Linked DNA regions of Rattus norvegicus. The protein of the gene in region 1 purifies or fractionates together with the protein of each later gene. This does not show direct contact. Links are inferred from orthologs where the notes say so. Each region holds a gene or a part of one and is shown on either strand. Other genes may lie near its edges.

Region 1 (6,971 bases):
CAGTGGTCAGGGGAGCGGGGACACTGGGGCAGGACAGGCCTCCTGAGGCCTGAAGTTACAGGTTCTTTTCAGGCACTGGACACAGGAACGGCAGCAGGCAACCCTTCCCAGGCAGTACATCAGCTTGTGTGCAGCCAGCAGCCAGCCTCCTCCACCTCCTTGGTCACCACCAATAGCACCTCGCACAGGCCTTGAGCCAAGGCAGCTGCCAGGAAGGCTCTGAGGGGAAAGTGGGAAGACTGAGGTCTCAGCAGCCCAGGCAGGTCCATCTCCCTGCAGGGCAGTTCCAGTGTTGTCCCATCCTGTCACTGCCTTCACCACTCACCTGACACCATCCTCGCCCCCCAGGGCTTCAGGTGCCCGTAGCTTTGAGTCCAGATTATAGTAGATGCCGTCCACCTGGCGCAGGGCCACCCAGTGTCGCCGGCGCAGCGGCAGGGACAGCAGCCCCAGCGACACAGGAGAGGGTAGGTTCAAGATCAGGCCTAGTACCTGGGGCAGGACCAGCTGGGACAGGGGTCTGAGGAGGGGAGGGATACAGCATGAGGCCCCAGAGACTGAGGTCTGGGTTGTGGGTCACAGAGGCACTTGGAACCTGCCTCCTTCCCCAGAATGACTGACTGTCTATTCACCCACTGACCTATTACCCTCTACCTGTCAACTCCAGCTTCCATTTGTTTAGGCAGGGTCTCAGGTGTCCCAGATGTGCAGCACTACAGCAGGTTATAGAGTAGGAATCCTGACCTCGTATCTGCTGGGTTGGCCTTCTGCCAATGCAGCCCCAGCTCCTCAACTTTTTGTTGTTGGCCCCTTTGAGCCAGGATCTCCACATGCAGTCCAGGCTGGCTCCACTGCTCTTGACCTAACGTATGCCTTTCCCACCTTAATCATGAGTTGCTCATTTAGATACCCTTTTGACTGGTACCAAGTTTATAAGTTTAACCCACCATTCAGTCAGACCCCATCTGTCATAGCCTCCCTGGCAAAACCCCTCCCCTGTCTACCTTCAAGCCACCCTCTGTGTCATCCCACACGCCCAGAGCCAGCGCAGCCCACTGCCTAGGCCCTACCTCCTCCTGTCCCACCACACAGCGGCCAGGCCCAGGCCCTGCAGGGCAGCCATGATCACGTTGACATCATAGTTGCCGGTGCCCAAGAGACTGCGATGGGGGTTCAGCCGGGAATCTGGGGCTAGCCTGGGGGTGAGGGGGCAGAGCCAAGGTTTGAAATCCTGGAAAGGCCTCCACCTTCCCACATAATAGGAGAGGCCCATAGCCTAGCCTTTGACGCTTCTCTCTTCAACCCCCATACAGCTTATCAGGCCTTGAATCCTGTCCTTCCTCCACCCCCCGAGCCCTGCACTCTTGGACTGGCTGAAGCTTTTATCTTTTCCAACTCAGAAACCCTTCCCAGCCTCTAGTCTCTCCCTCCAGCCCACCTCTGACCTCCAGAAGCCCTGAGCTGCCCTGCCCCCTTCCTACTTCCACTTCTCTATGACTCCCAAGTACCCTGGACAAAGTCCCTGCCCCTCCATCCTTCCCACTCATGGTCTCTCTCCAGACCAGTGTCAGATGTCATTTCTTCTGGGAGAGGAGCCTTCAGACTGTGCTCAGAGTCCCTGGGTGACAGAGCCACTCATACCACCATATCTGAAAACAGAGAGCCTCTTTCTTTTGGTAATACCCTGCCCTACCCTGCTCAGAGCCCTCCCTAGTGCCCCATCGTCCCAGGACACACTCCCACCTCCTCCAGTGGCAAGTAGGCCTTACATAGTCTCAGTACCAGCTCTTAGCAGCCACCTGTCTCCAGCTGTCCCTTGTGCCCAAGCCTTCCCTCTAGCTCTCCCCAGCTCTGTGGCCCTGTTCCTCTGTAGGTCTGGACCCTCGGTGAGCAGTGTCAGGAGGGAACCAATCATGTCTGCAGCTTCTCCTTTCAGTACATCTGCCTCAGCTCTAGCTGTTCAGCATGCCCCTGGACAAAGAGCTGGTGCAGGGGAAATGAGTATCTTCTAAAGTTTGAGGATAAGGTCTGCCTCTGGGTGTGGGCATGGACTACAGCCTGGGGTGTCTGTGTGCCCATAGAAGTACCCTGTGGCCTAGTGGTTGGAATGGGGAGATTCTTAAGAACGTTTCTTAAGAAAGTGATGACTAGGGCTGGAGAGATGGCTCAGTGGTTAAGAGCACCGACTGCTCTTCCTGAGGTCCTGAGTTCAAATCCCAGCAACCACATGGTGGCTCACAACCATCTGTAATGAGATCTGATGCCCTATTCTGGTGTGTCTGAAGGCAGCTACAGTGTACTCATATACAATAAATAAAATCTTTAAAAAAAAAAAAAAAAAGAAAGTGATGACTAAAACTATGACCAAGAAGAAAAAAAAAAAAAAAGCCTTGTGTAACAGGGGAACAGCCTGGTTGGGGCCTAGGAGAGCAGTTTAGATGAAACTGCAGAAAGGCAGACAAAGACCAGAGCACCCAAGGCCTTGGAGTTCAGCCTGAAGGCCCTGGGCTACTCCCTAAGAGGGCTGGGGAGCCAAAGAGGGGTAGAAGCAGAAGAGGGGGCAGGCAGTTGGGGGGCTGTGTGTAGGATGGGTAGGAGGAGAAAAACAGACAGCTGGGAGGTTGTGACAGAGGCTCAGAGAAGAGAGGTTGAGGCCAAAGCTGGGGCTGAGGTTTTGAGAAGCAGCAGGTGGGAGAGCAGGTGGAAGAGCAGGCAACAGCTCCTGGATCTGAGCCCTTGGCCCCCCTATAGGCGTGCCTCTTGGAGCTCTGCTCTTCCAGGGCCAGGCTAATGGCAGTCACCTCTTGCAGATTTCGTCGGCAGCTTCCTGGCTAAAGAGCTGCTCTTGGAGGACGTTGTTGAGAGCATGAACGGCACACAGCTCTAGCCGCTGCCGCTCGTGATACACTGAGGGTGATCTTGGTCTCGCTTCCGGCGCCTGAGACATGCCCTCCTCAGCTCCTGCTAGGGGTGGGACAAGGAGGTGTTAGGCACCTAGGATCTTGGTCATCCGGGTCTCTAGATTCCTGTGTCCCTATGCAATGGCCATTGAGGTGGGCACTGCTGCTAGCTTAAAAGGACGCAAGGCCTTGTTCCTAGGCTGTCTCCAGAGCACAGAGACACCTTTAGAGCCCAGTCCTGGGGTGGGTGGTGTATAGACTCCTATCTGCTGTCCTGGCAATAGAGACCCACCCCCACTACATGTCTCCAAGCAAAAGGGTCTGGATCATCATCACCTAGCAACGGACTATCGCCCCTTCTGTCCCTAGGAAACAATACCTTTTTGGTTCCCAAGCAACAGAACAACCCCACCCGCCTGGTAACCCGGTCCGTTTTCTGATCACCTAGCAATGGAGGACTCCTCCTTTCTCGTCTCTGGGTAACAGGGTCTCTTCTGGTCGCCTAGCAACGAAAGACTTCCCCTTGTCAATAACCAGGGTTCTCTCCTCCCTTCACCTGACAAGGCCCTCTCCCAGTCACTAAGCAACAGGAACTCCCCCTCCTGTCACCTGGCAACCAGGCACGCTCCCACCCTACTTTGCTCGGCGCCCGCCTGGCCCTCACCCCGCCGGCCTTTCCGCTCCCTGGGACCGGCCGCTTTCGCATTCCCTAGGCGGCTTTCGGGTGGTACCACGCTGACTGAGCAGGCGGAACGGACTACAGCTCCCGGCAACTTGCGCGCGCCGGACTGCGATTCCCGAAGGCCTCCGTAGGGCGACTAAATAGAACGCTCAGTCCGGAAGTCCGCCGGGGCCGCTCTGCCACATGGGACTACAACTCCCATCGGACGGCGCAGCCCTTTCTGGTTCTCTCTCAGGACCCACTGCTGCCTAGAGGTTCCTGGGAGATGTAGTAACCAATGATCTCGCGATAGCTTTCAGGGGGCTGGTTTGTGTATGAGCTCACACGCTGCTGCTATGGCGTCATACACGGTGTGTAGCCGAAGCGTGACGACATGGAGGTGGGGACAAGGAACCAAAGAGGCCAAAGAGAACAGCGGGCAGAATTCTGATGTTTACTGGGACCCATAGTAGTCAAGGTGACAGCAAGGGTAGGGGAGGAAACTCAGCAGAGGCGGATCCCAGGTCTGGAGGGAAGCTGACAGCAGCCTGTGGGGAGAATGAAAAACTAGGATGACAACACAGACACATGCAGGTGGCCATGGTGAACGTGGGTTTTGAAAATGGTAATGTGGTACAACCCAAAGAGGATACTCAGAGATGTACCTTGTGGGTAGAGAGACCTAGAGGGGGACCCAGACGCTGAGAAAAAGCGGGGCGGGGAAAGAGAGGCTCATAAAGCCTGGGAGTGAGAACTAAGGATGGGCAAAGACAGAAAACTGGGGTGGGACACCCAACACGTGAGTTCTGCAGAGCACAAACGCCAAGGGACCGTTGGAGGGGCCTGGCCGCACCCAGTAAGCTGTGCCAGAAGGCTGTAACAGTAGCGGAGCCAGTGACAGCGCCAGGCTGGGCTGGGTTCTCTCTGTGGGTGTGCACGGCAAAGCTGCGGCCTGTGGGCCCTGGGGGGCCTGTCAGCTCCACATCCACCACATGCATGTCGGTGAGGCTGCAGTCAGCAGAGAAGAGCAGTCAGTTCATCCTGAGTGTACACAGCTATGCCACCTACTCCCTTTGCTCACCTAAGGTCAGCCACAAGCACCCCAATGACACGATCAAAGCCTAGACTGGGAGCGGCCAGGGCAGCGGCTGCCATGGTGTTGGAGTTTCGGGGGGCCAAGGGGCAGAGCCCACGCACAGGGCCCTCATAGAGCACTGTGCGGGGCCCACTACTATGTGCGGCAGCCAGGGGTCCCTCCAGCCGGAAGCCATCAGGATGTGTGGCCATGGTGACTCGAAGGCTCTGGAAGCAATGGCAGGGTCAGAAGAGTGAGAGAGACTCCTACATGTTCCCTCTGGTTGCAGCCCAGATGGTTCTCACCTGGAGGCCTCCGGCTGCATCCAATCTGCTGATGTCTTCACAACCCCACAGGGCCCCTCGGGCCACAAACACCGTGTGGCCCCAGTGGTTTGAAGCCTCCAGGAGCTGCCGCTCTGTGGTCTGGTCAGCGAGAGCTGAGGGGGATCCCACCTTGGGACAAGGCCAAGATCCAGATCACTGCTGGAGGGTGGGATGCAGCCAGCACAGGGAGGGACTCACTGAGGGGTGAGGAGGCTCACCAGAAGGTTTGCATGACGGAGGATTTGTACCCCAGATTCATGGATTATTTTTGGATGGGCCACTTCTACCACAAGGTCAGGGTGCCTGGGAAGAAAGACATGGAGGGGGAGGGCCTGGAGAAGAATCAGGTCTCCCGTCTCCTAGGCTCCTCAGGGTTTGCAGGAACATCAGTGCTCATCCTGACTTGGAAGGGACGTGGGATGGTGGGTGCATTCTAGTTTATTTGTATGTGCACTGAGACTCAGAAAGGGTCAAAGAGTTATATGACACAGAGAGGCAGAAGCAGCTTTGGGAAGGCTCCTTCTGTGGGCCACTGACCTTTCCTCAAGTGTAGTGAGGTCTTCGAGCTGCAGGGCAGGGGGCACACTCCCTGCCATTCGTCCAGGGTCACGGTTCCACACAAAAACAAGTTCTAGGCCCAGTTCTGATCCCTGAGCCAGAAGGCGGGACACAAGGGACTGTCCTGCAGAGAAGGGAGGGCTAGAGAGACCCAAGAAAAGGACAGAGACTCCCCAAGTCAGGGAGATGGAGTGGGGGAACAGAGACCCAGAAAGAGACATACAGAATACACAGAAGCCCAGAGAGGAGAGATGGACAGACACATAGACAGAATACATAGAAACCTAGAGAGCTGGGGAGATACAGATTCACCCCCACCACCACATACACACAGAGACACAGAAACAGAGACAGAGACCTAGAAGACAAATACCACACACACACACACACACACACACACACACACACACGCACGCACACATGCACGCACACAGATGAGAGCAAGAGGAAAGGCAGAAATGGGAGAGAGAGGGAGAAGGAGGAAAGAAGGGAGGGAGGGAGGGAGGCAGAGAGAAGAAGGAGGGAGGGAGGGAGGCCCAATGAGTGGGCAGAAGGCAGGCTAGGCTGGCAGGCTGGGGTGAAAGATATGTGGGAGCAGAGATGTTTCTAGAACTTTAGGAACAGGGGCATAGAAGGAGGCCCCAGGCTAGCTCTTACCGAGGCGGCCATAGCCCACCACCCCCACCTTGTGAGGAACTCGAGGGACCATACTAGCGTCCATGGCCTTTATCCTGCTGTGGGGATCTGCTGTGCTTGCTGGCCCCTTTACCAGGCCTGAGCAGTGAATGATCTTTGGACTTTGACCCTGACTCTGTCCACTGAGGAGGGAGCAGAATGGGGATGTGTGTCCTTTTTGAGCCCTTTGCCCTCCTGTGCTGGCTGGCATGGTGGCTTGGAAGCCTTGTGTGGCCCTGTGTGCTTACTACCCCACTGCCTCCTGTAAAGCCCACACTCTCCCATGCCTGCCGAGGTAGAAAGTTCCCTTTGCAATCCCCCTTCCTCAGGCTGGCCAGCAGGTTGTCATGGAGACTGCATTTTGCTTGGGATAGGGGAAGAATTGGGGACAGGAACTTAGATCTTCCACCAGGCCCCTTACAGACCTCTCATCTTTCCTTTCTCCTCTAAAGTCTAAGTGGAAAGGTCTGGCTGGAATGTATGTGTTCCTGCATGTTCCACCCGTGTCCTGTCTTTCCCAGTCCTCCATGCCCCTCAGTCTTGGCTGGAGTCCCCTCCCTCACTCCAATGTCTAATTGCCCTTGAGCTCACCTTAACTGTTCACCATTCATCCCACCTTGAGGCCACAATCTCCTGCCTATCTGTATCCTGGTCCCCTGCCCCCTCTCCTGCCTCCTATCCCATCCATGAGGAAGGGACATGCGTGGGTGGGGGAGTCGCTAAGTGTCCCTAGGATGAGCCCAGCCACTGGCTGGCAGGCCTGGCATGGGACATGG
Region 2 (6,639 bases), on another chromosome or scaffold:
AACCGAGGCCTTGTGAAGGAAGCAGCAGAGTTGGAGGACGCTGGTCTTGTTTGTTTTTATTCCAGAGGATTGGTTATAATAGCAAATAAAATTGCATCCCTAAGTACTTGAGAAAATGGTCTGGGGTCTCCTGGGGTCATTCTCATAGCATGAGTCCCTTCAAATAAAGCCTTTGACTTAAATGTCTGTGACTATGCTAGTAAGCCAGACCATAGAGCTGGAATAGAAATGAACAAAAGTCTCTTGTTTAGCCGGCTAGCGGCACTGTAGGGTTAGGGTAGGTAAGCTTTGCATGGGAAAAAATGTCTCAAGAGACCACTTCCATGTTCACAGGGATCTTAAGAACAAAGAGCCAGACGTGGATGTGGTGGCAAACCCAGCAACTAGCCAGACTTCTGTCTGAGGCTTCTGGGAAGCATTATTTATCATCATCATCACCATCATCACATCAACATCATTTTATTTCTCTCTCCATTCTGTGACAAGACACCAGGCAGAAGCAACATAAGGAAAGACTGATCTCCACTCATGGCTTCAGTCCAACACCTAGGCACCTTGTCAGAACACATGACAGAGAAGTGCCTGCTATCTTGGCAAATTACCCCAAAGGTTTGCTACAGTCACTCACAGACAATAACTAGAGCTCATGCCCCAAAGGTTTTGCCATCTCCCGACATAGTGCTACCAGCTACAGAGCCAGTGTTCAGACACACAAGCCTATGGGGAAAGTCCAAACTGTAACAGGTGAGGAGGATGTAGACAGTATTATTTCATCATTTGTGTGTTAGGGAGAACTGGGATAACCTGATTTAGAAAGAGGTTAATTCAGGGTGATGTGGGCTAGGGTGACTTGCAACAGAAAAGCCAGTTAAGAAAAACTAGAAAACCAAGAGGACTCCCAGGAAGAAGCCTTTACTCATACTACTTTTCTGATAATTGGCTTCTATAGTTCCTTTTGAAGAGACGTCTTCCTAGGGCGACAGGACCAGTTTTTACCTGTGAGCCCTTAAGAGAGATTCACAATAGTGGGAGCAACAAGGATGGGATACACTTTCATTTAGAGTACAGCTGATCAGAGCAAGCCTTCAGGTTTTGTTCTGTGTGAGTGTTCTCTCTGCACGTACTCTTGCATTCCAAGATTCTATTATACAGATCATTGTGAGCCACCACGTGATTACATATCTGATTTTGATGAGCCTCTGGATTTAGACCTTAGAGCTGGTGCTGAAATTAAAACTTGGAACTACTAGATTATTTTCTAGATTAAAAAGCAACCAACTGTGCTGGAGAGATGGCTCAGTGGTTAAAAGCACTGATTGCCCTTCCAGAGGTCCAGAGTTCAATTCCCAGCAACCACATGGTGGCTCACAACCATCTGTAATGAGATCTGATGCCCTCTTCTGGTGTGTCTGAAGAGCTACAATGTACTCATATAATTAAATCTAAAAAAAGAAAAAACCGGGGTTGGGGATTTGGCTCAGAGGTAGAGCGCTTGCCTAGCAACCGCAAGGCCCTGGGTTCGGTCCCCAGCTCCGAAAAAAAGAAAAGACCAACCAACTAACCAATCAAACAACCCATGGATTTTGGAGGCTGGGGCAGAATGCTGTGGCCTGAATGTACTCCTTTCAATTCATTAGTTGAAAATGATTCACCAATGTGATATTACAAATTATTACATCATTTGAATGGAATAGGGTAAGTGTTAGATCTTGATGGATTCTCATTGTGATGATGCCAGTCTTGGAAGCAGAGAACAGCCTGTCATCATTAGTCTGCTGACTACTTCATCCTGGCCATCTCAGCCTCCATGTTGAGAGTACATTTCTGTCCTCTATAGAATGCCCAGTTTCACAAGTTGTTTGATGTGTGTGCATGTATGCAGGTTTACCTACATAAATACGTGTGCATCTGTTGGCCAGAGAATAATCCTAGGTGCAGAATTCTCCTCCTTCAAGACAGGGCAGCTCACTGGCCTGGGGCTCACCAATTAGGCTGCACTGCCTAGCTAGTGAGTGCCAGCAAGCCTCCTTGTCTGTCCCCCCGAGCTGGGACATATGTACAAGTATGTGCCAACACACCCCACAGTTTTTACTTGGGTTCTGGGAAGGAAATTTACGTCCTCATATTTACAAGGCAAGAACTTTTATCAGTTGAGACATCGCCGGCTCTTTTACAGCAGCAAGAATTCAGATCAACATCCATATGCACTAGTCAGCTGTCCATCACGATGGTGAATACCAAAATAATTAACTCATAAAGATAAAAATATTTTGGCTTATGGTGCTGAAGGCAGGTTTCAGTTCATGACTGACTGGCCACATTACTTTGGGTCTATGTCAGGCAGAACAGTAAGACAAAAATTCAAGGTGGAAACAAAACTGCTCACCTCACTGCTAGGACATAAAAACAACAGTGGGCGATGGCATACCATTCCTTTCAAGGTCACACTTCCAGTGACCTAAGCACCTCTCATTAGGTCCTATCTCCTAAAGGCTCCAGTGCCACTCAACAGTGACCTACACACAGATTGCAACTCGAGACATTAATGATAGTTGGGTGCACTGGTGTAATGCTATAGTCCCAGCTACTGGGAAGATTGAGTCAGGATGACTTGATCCAAGAAGTCTGAGGCCAGCTTACATAAGACAGACCTTGTCTTCAAATGGCTTATCTCAACCTAGGAAACAGTCTAATGAAGTTTTGCTATTTAACCAAAAAAGACACAGGACTACCATTATGTCTTATCACTTTTAATTGACTTTAATGATTATTGCTCATCTGCAAGGATTAATATTGCATTCATTAAAAATCATTCAATACAAAATGAATATTTTCCTCCCAAGTTGGTCTCCAAATGTTCCCTCTGATGCCAGACATTTTCCAGTGTCCTTTGTTACATGGCTTGACAGAGACTAGCCCTTACCTATTATTCCTATGGACACAGTAATAGATAGGACCAGAGGGCAGATTAGAGGGCAGCAGGAACTTGGCCCCTTCCCTCCAGTAGAGCTGACCAGATGAATACACTGCTGTTAGCCAAGATAAGGCCCTACTGAGTGTGGTGTTCTGATTGGATGGTTAAGTGCCTTAGGAAAGGGGTCTTCAAATGTTAGTATCTATAGAGAAGAAAGCATGATCACATTGGAAAGGAGCAGGAAGGGGCTGGGTACAGAGAAATGGGAGATGAAAGGGAAAAAAGTTTTGGCAAGATAATTGTTCCCTGCAAGGAAGGTGCAGGGTAAAAGCTTTCCTTTCTTGTATTTCTGTTTTTAATGCCTGTTTCTCTGATCAGTGAAAGAGAGAAGTAAACATTTCCAGTATCTATCATTAACACATAACCCATCTTTGAAGGATCACAAGCTAGAACACGCTGAGGACTTAAAATCCCGGATAATTATATACCTAAAGCTTGAGCTTGAAGCTCGTTTGACCATGCAGAGATGCTGGCAAGCGGGTGCGTGGCCTGGGAATAAGTCTCTCTGATTTTAGAGGGTCTCTTGGAATTCTCTTAGAGCATGAATCAGGATGTACTTTCTCCACCAAGTCTTTAAGATCTCAGTTTACAATTTTTATTTTCTATTTTTGTGGCAAGTGTCAATCAAAAGTGGCACCATGTCTATAAAACTAACAGCAGACAAGGTCTCCAGCTCTGAACAGATTATACAGTTATATTTGTTTCACCTTGGCCCAATTTGTCATTCTTTCTTCCATCTATGCAAACTTCCCTTCAAACAGTTTAGGTTGCAGAAGCACAGCTGCCCACAGGTTTGCTCTGAAAGGATAAACCCTAAGGACAGGGCTCAGTGTTTTATACTGAGTAATGGCTCAAGAAATCGGCCGTCAGCATAAGCTGCGTGAGGCAGAGCTGAGAAGTTTTGCTTATGGCTCCAGTTCACTGACACTATAAACTATGAGCTGGAAACATCAGAGTCTGAGGCTAGCATTTTTCTAGCCTCAACTCTTGACACTTTGCTTCAAAGGTTCAAAAGAGATATTGGTAACTAACCACCTGAGCTGTTCCTCAGGATTAACACTAAAATTTTTCCTTAATTAAAAGAAACAAAACAAATAAATGCTAAGGGACAAAATTCAACTTGATAGAATGCAGTTTAGTTAAAACTAGAACAATGAGAGAGACTGGTGGAAGGGCTGAACTACAAATCCGAGTGAGCCTACGGAGTTTAACAGCACACATCTCTGCAGACACGCCATCTTAGACAGGAAACGGCTTAGAGCGTCTGTCTACGGGAAGTTGACATGCACCACCTACGTCTAACCTACCTGGCTGGAGCCATCCTGGCTCCTCTGAAGAAGTAAAGAGCACTAGTTCCAGCAGCTAGAACAGTCTCTTTTAAGGCAATTTAGACACTGTAGATTGTTCCACACAGAAGATGCCTTAGCATTTTCTGTTAATATGGTAACTAAATGCGATCAAAGTCCCCAGAAATGGTTAAAGAATTGACTTTCTGGGCTGCAGAATTAACCCCTTTTAGTGACTAAAGGTGAGAAACCTTTGACCTCAGTTTCACCTAAACAGCCATGGAGCAAGTTCCTGTGTGGTCTGCAAAACTCAAATGATGAGATGAGAAAAAAAATGAAATTATAGAAAAAAAAATCAAAAGGAAAGTAATAAGAAGAAAATAAAAGTTATCTTAAAAAATACTCTATTAGAGTTGCGTGGTTCGTGTGGACTGGTCATTGTAATACGTCCATTAGTATCTGAAAAGAGAGAGATGGGCCTGTTAACGTACTTTCTGAGATCAACACAGCATCTTCCCAAGCTTCCTCCCAGCCCAAACTGGGGGCATTCCTGCGTGGGTTCCTCCTGAGGTGAGGCTCACCTTCTAAGACCTTAAGACACTTAGCTCCTTACATCTATTGGTGGATTCACACTTTCTCTGACTACCTTGCTAATTTGGTTTTCTGTAGAGGTGGGGACTGAACCTCACTATACTAGGCAAGCACGCAATCCTGAATAACCCAGTCATTCCTGCTAACCTGCAGTGGTGGCCTTATACTCTTAGGTATCACACATGACACGTATCTTTACTGAAGAAACCTGGCTAGACTAGACTGGCTGGTCTAATATTGGGGAAGAACTTTTCATTGCTTTCTTCCAAGTTACCTGTAATAATTAGGTTTGAATGGCCCATTTTTGTTGAGTCCCAGATATTTTGCTTGGTCATCTGTCAGCTCTGTGAGGTGGGCATCAAATGATGGCAGGTGCAAGCTGGCAACATACTCATCTGGGAAGAGAAGAGCAGTAAGGGCAGGAGGCTTCTTGTCAGACAGGCCGTTAGGGCACAGCCTCCCTCCTATTTTCATTTCTTAAAACTACTCAGGAAGAGCAGTGGAACAACCCTGAACGAATCCACAACCTGAAATATGTGTTTAATTAAGAAAGCTTTCCAAGCTGTATATATAGGAAATGATGTCTTTCAAGCACATATACTGGGCAAGCAGATGGTCATGCACCCGATTGGCGAATGGGTGCCTTGTACTTCCTCCTCAGAGTTTGGCGTCACTTGAGTAGGTACCATGTCACACACTACACCCAGCTTCCTGTGGCAGCCTCCTTAACTATATTAAACCATCATCAAATCATGAACCATAAAGATGAATCTAACACACTTAAAAGAGCCTCCTGTCACTGACATTTATTTAAGACAGGCTCCCTATAGCCACATATTTAGACTGATAAGATTTCTTTTTTTTTTTTTTTTTTTTTTTTTTTGGTTCTTTTTTTCGGAGCTGGGGACCGAACCCAGGGCCTTGCGCTTCCTAGGCAAGCGCTCTACCACTGAGCTAAATCCCCAACCCAAAAGACTCTTATAATTTTTTTTTTTTTTTTTTTGGTTCTTTTTTTTCGGAGCTGGGGACCGAACCCAGGGCCTTGCGCTTCCTAGGCAAGCGCTCTACCACTGAGCTAAATCCCCAACTCCTGATAAGATTTCTAAGGCACATACTAAGTATCGTTCCCTAACTTTTATGAATATGATTTCTTAAAACAACAACAACAACAAACACTACACAGTAGAGACATAATTCAGCAGCTGTTCTTTTAGAAGACCTGGGTTTGATTTCCAGGACTTGTATGTCAGCTTAAACCATCTATAAATCCAGTTCCAGGTATTTGATACCCTCTTCTGGCTTTGACAGGCAACAGGCATGCCTGTGGTCACATATACATGTAGCCAAAACACCCATACACATAAAAAATATACAACAACAACAACAACAACAACAACAGAATATCCAAAAGCAATATAAAATAAGTTAAGAAAAATTTATGTGTATGCATGTTTTCCTGTATGTATATATTTGGACCACATCTGTGCCTGCTGCTCATTGAACCCAGAAGAAGGCACTGAGTCTCTTACCCAGCACAAAATAGTTGTGAGACATTAAATGGGTGCTGGGACCTGAGCCTGGGTCTTCTGCAAAAGTAGCAAGTGTTCTTAACCACTAGCATCTCCCCAATATGCAAGTTTTTTAAGTGTAAAGTCAGACATGTAGGCTGGCTGTAAGTATGGGGCGGGTGTCAGTATAGAGAAAAGCAAAGGACAAGACAGAGTTTATGCCACATGAGCAAAGTGTAAGTGGTCATGAGGCGCATAGGTTGGGTTAGAGGAGGTTTGC

The links. The genes of interacting proteins can lie anywhere in the genome.
Region 2: the proteins of Josd2 (region 1) and Ahcyl1 purify together in Homo sapiens (affinity purification with mass spectrometry; 4 studies listed by BioGRID and IntAct, counting the BioPlex papers as one, with this or other methods). This does not show direct contact. The link is inferred for Rattus norvegicus from reciprocal best matches to the Homo sapiens genes JOSD2 and AHCYL1.

The regions. Positions count from the first base shown.
Region 1 is NC_086019.1:104,094,273-104,101,243, reverse strand, and holds the start of Josd2 (josephin-2), read right to left. Parts: upstream 3,685-6,971; 5' UTR 3,607-3,684; coding exon of another isoform or gene 3,565-3,606; intron 3,403-3,564; coding exon of another isoform or gene 3,345-3,402; intron 2,965-3,344; coding exon of another isoform or gene 2,948-2,964; coding exon 2,802-2,947; exon of another isoform or gene 2,758-2,801; intron 1,197-2,757; coding exon 1,071-1,196; intron 521-1,070; coding exon 326-520; intron 220-325; coding exon 120-219; 3' UTR 1-119. Other genes in the region: Aspdh (aspartate dehydrogenase domain-containing protein), read right to left, coding at 4,066-4,109, 4,415-4,569, 4,643-4,863, 4,942-5,091, 5,181-5,265, 5,500-5,644, 6,178-6,241. UniProt on the Homo sapiens protein: Cleaves 'Lys-63'-linked poly-ubiquitin chains, and with lesser efficiency 'Lys-48'-linked poly-ubiquitin chains (in vitro). May act as a deubiquitinating enzyme.
Region 2 is NC_086020.1:197,979,601-197,986,239, forward strand, and holds the end of Ahcyl1 (S-adenosylhomocysteine hydrolase-like protein 1), read right to left. Parts: intron 5,247-6,639; coding exon of another isoform or gene 5,122-5,246; exon of another isoform or gene 4,720-5,121; coding exon 4,616-4,719; 3' UTR 2,744-4,615; downstream 1-2,743. UniProt on the Homo sapiens protein: Multifaceted cellular regulator which coordinates several essential cellular functions including regulation of epithelial HCO3(-) and fluid secretion, mRNA processing and DNA replication.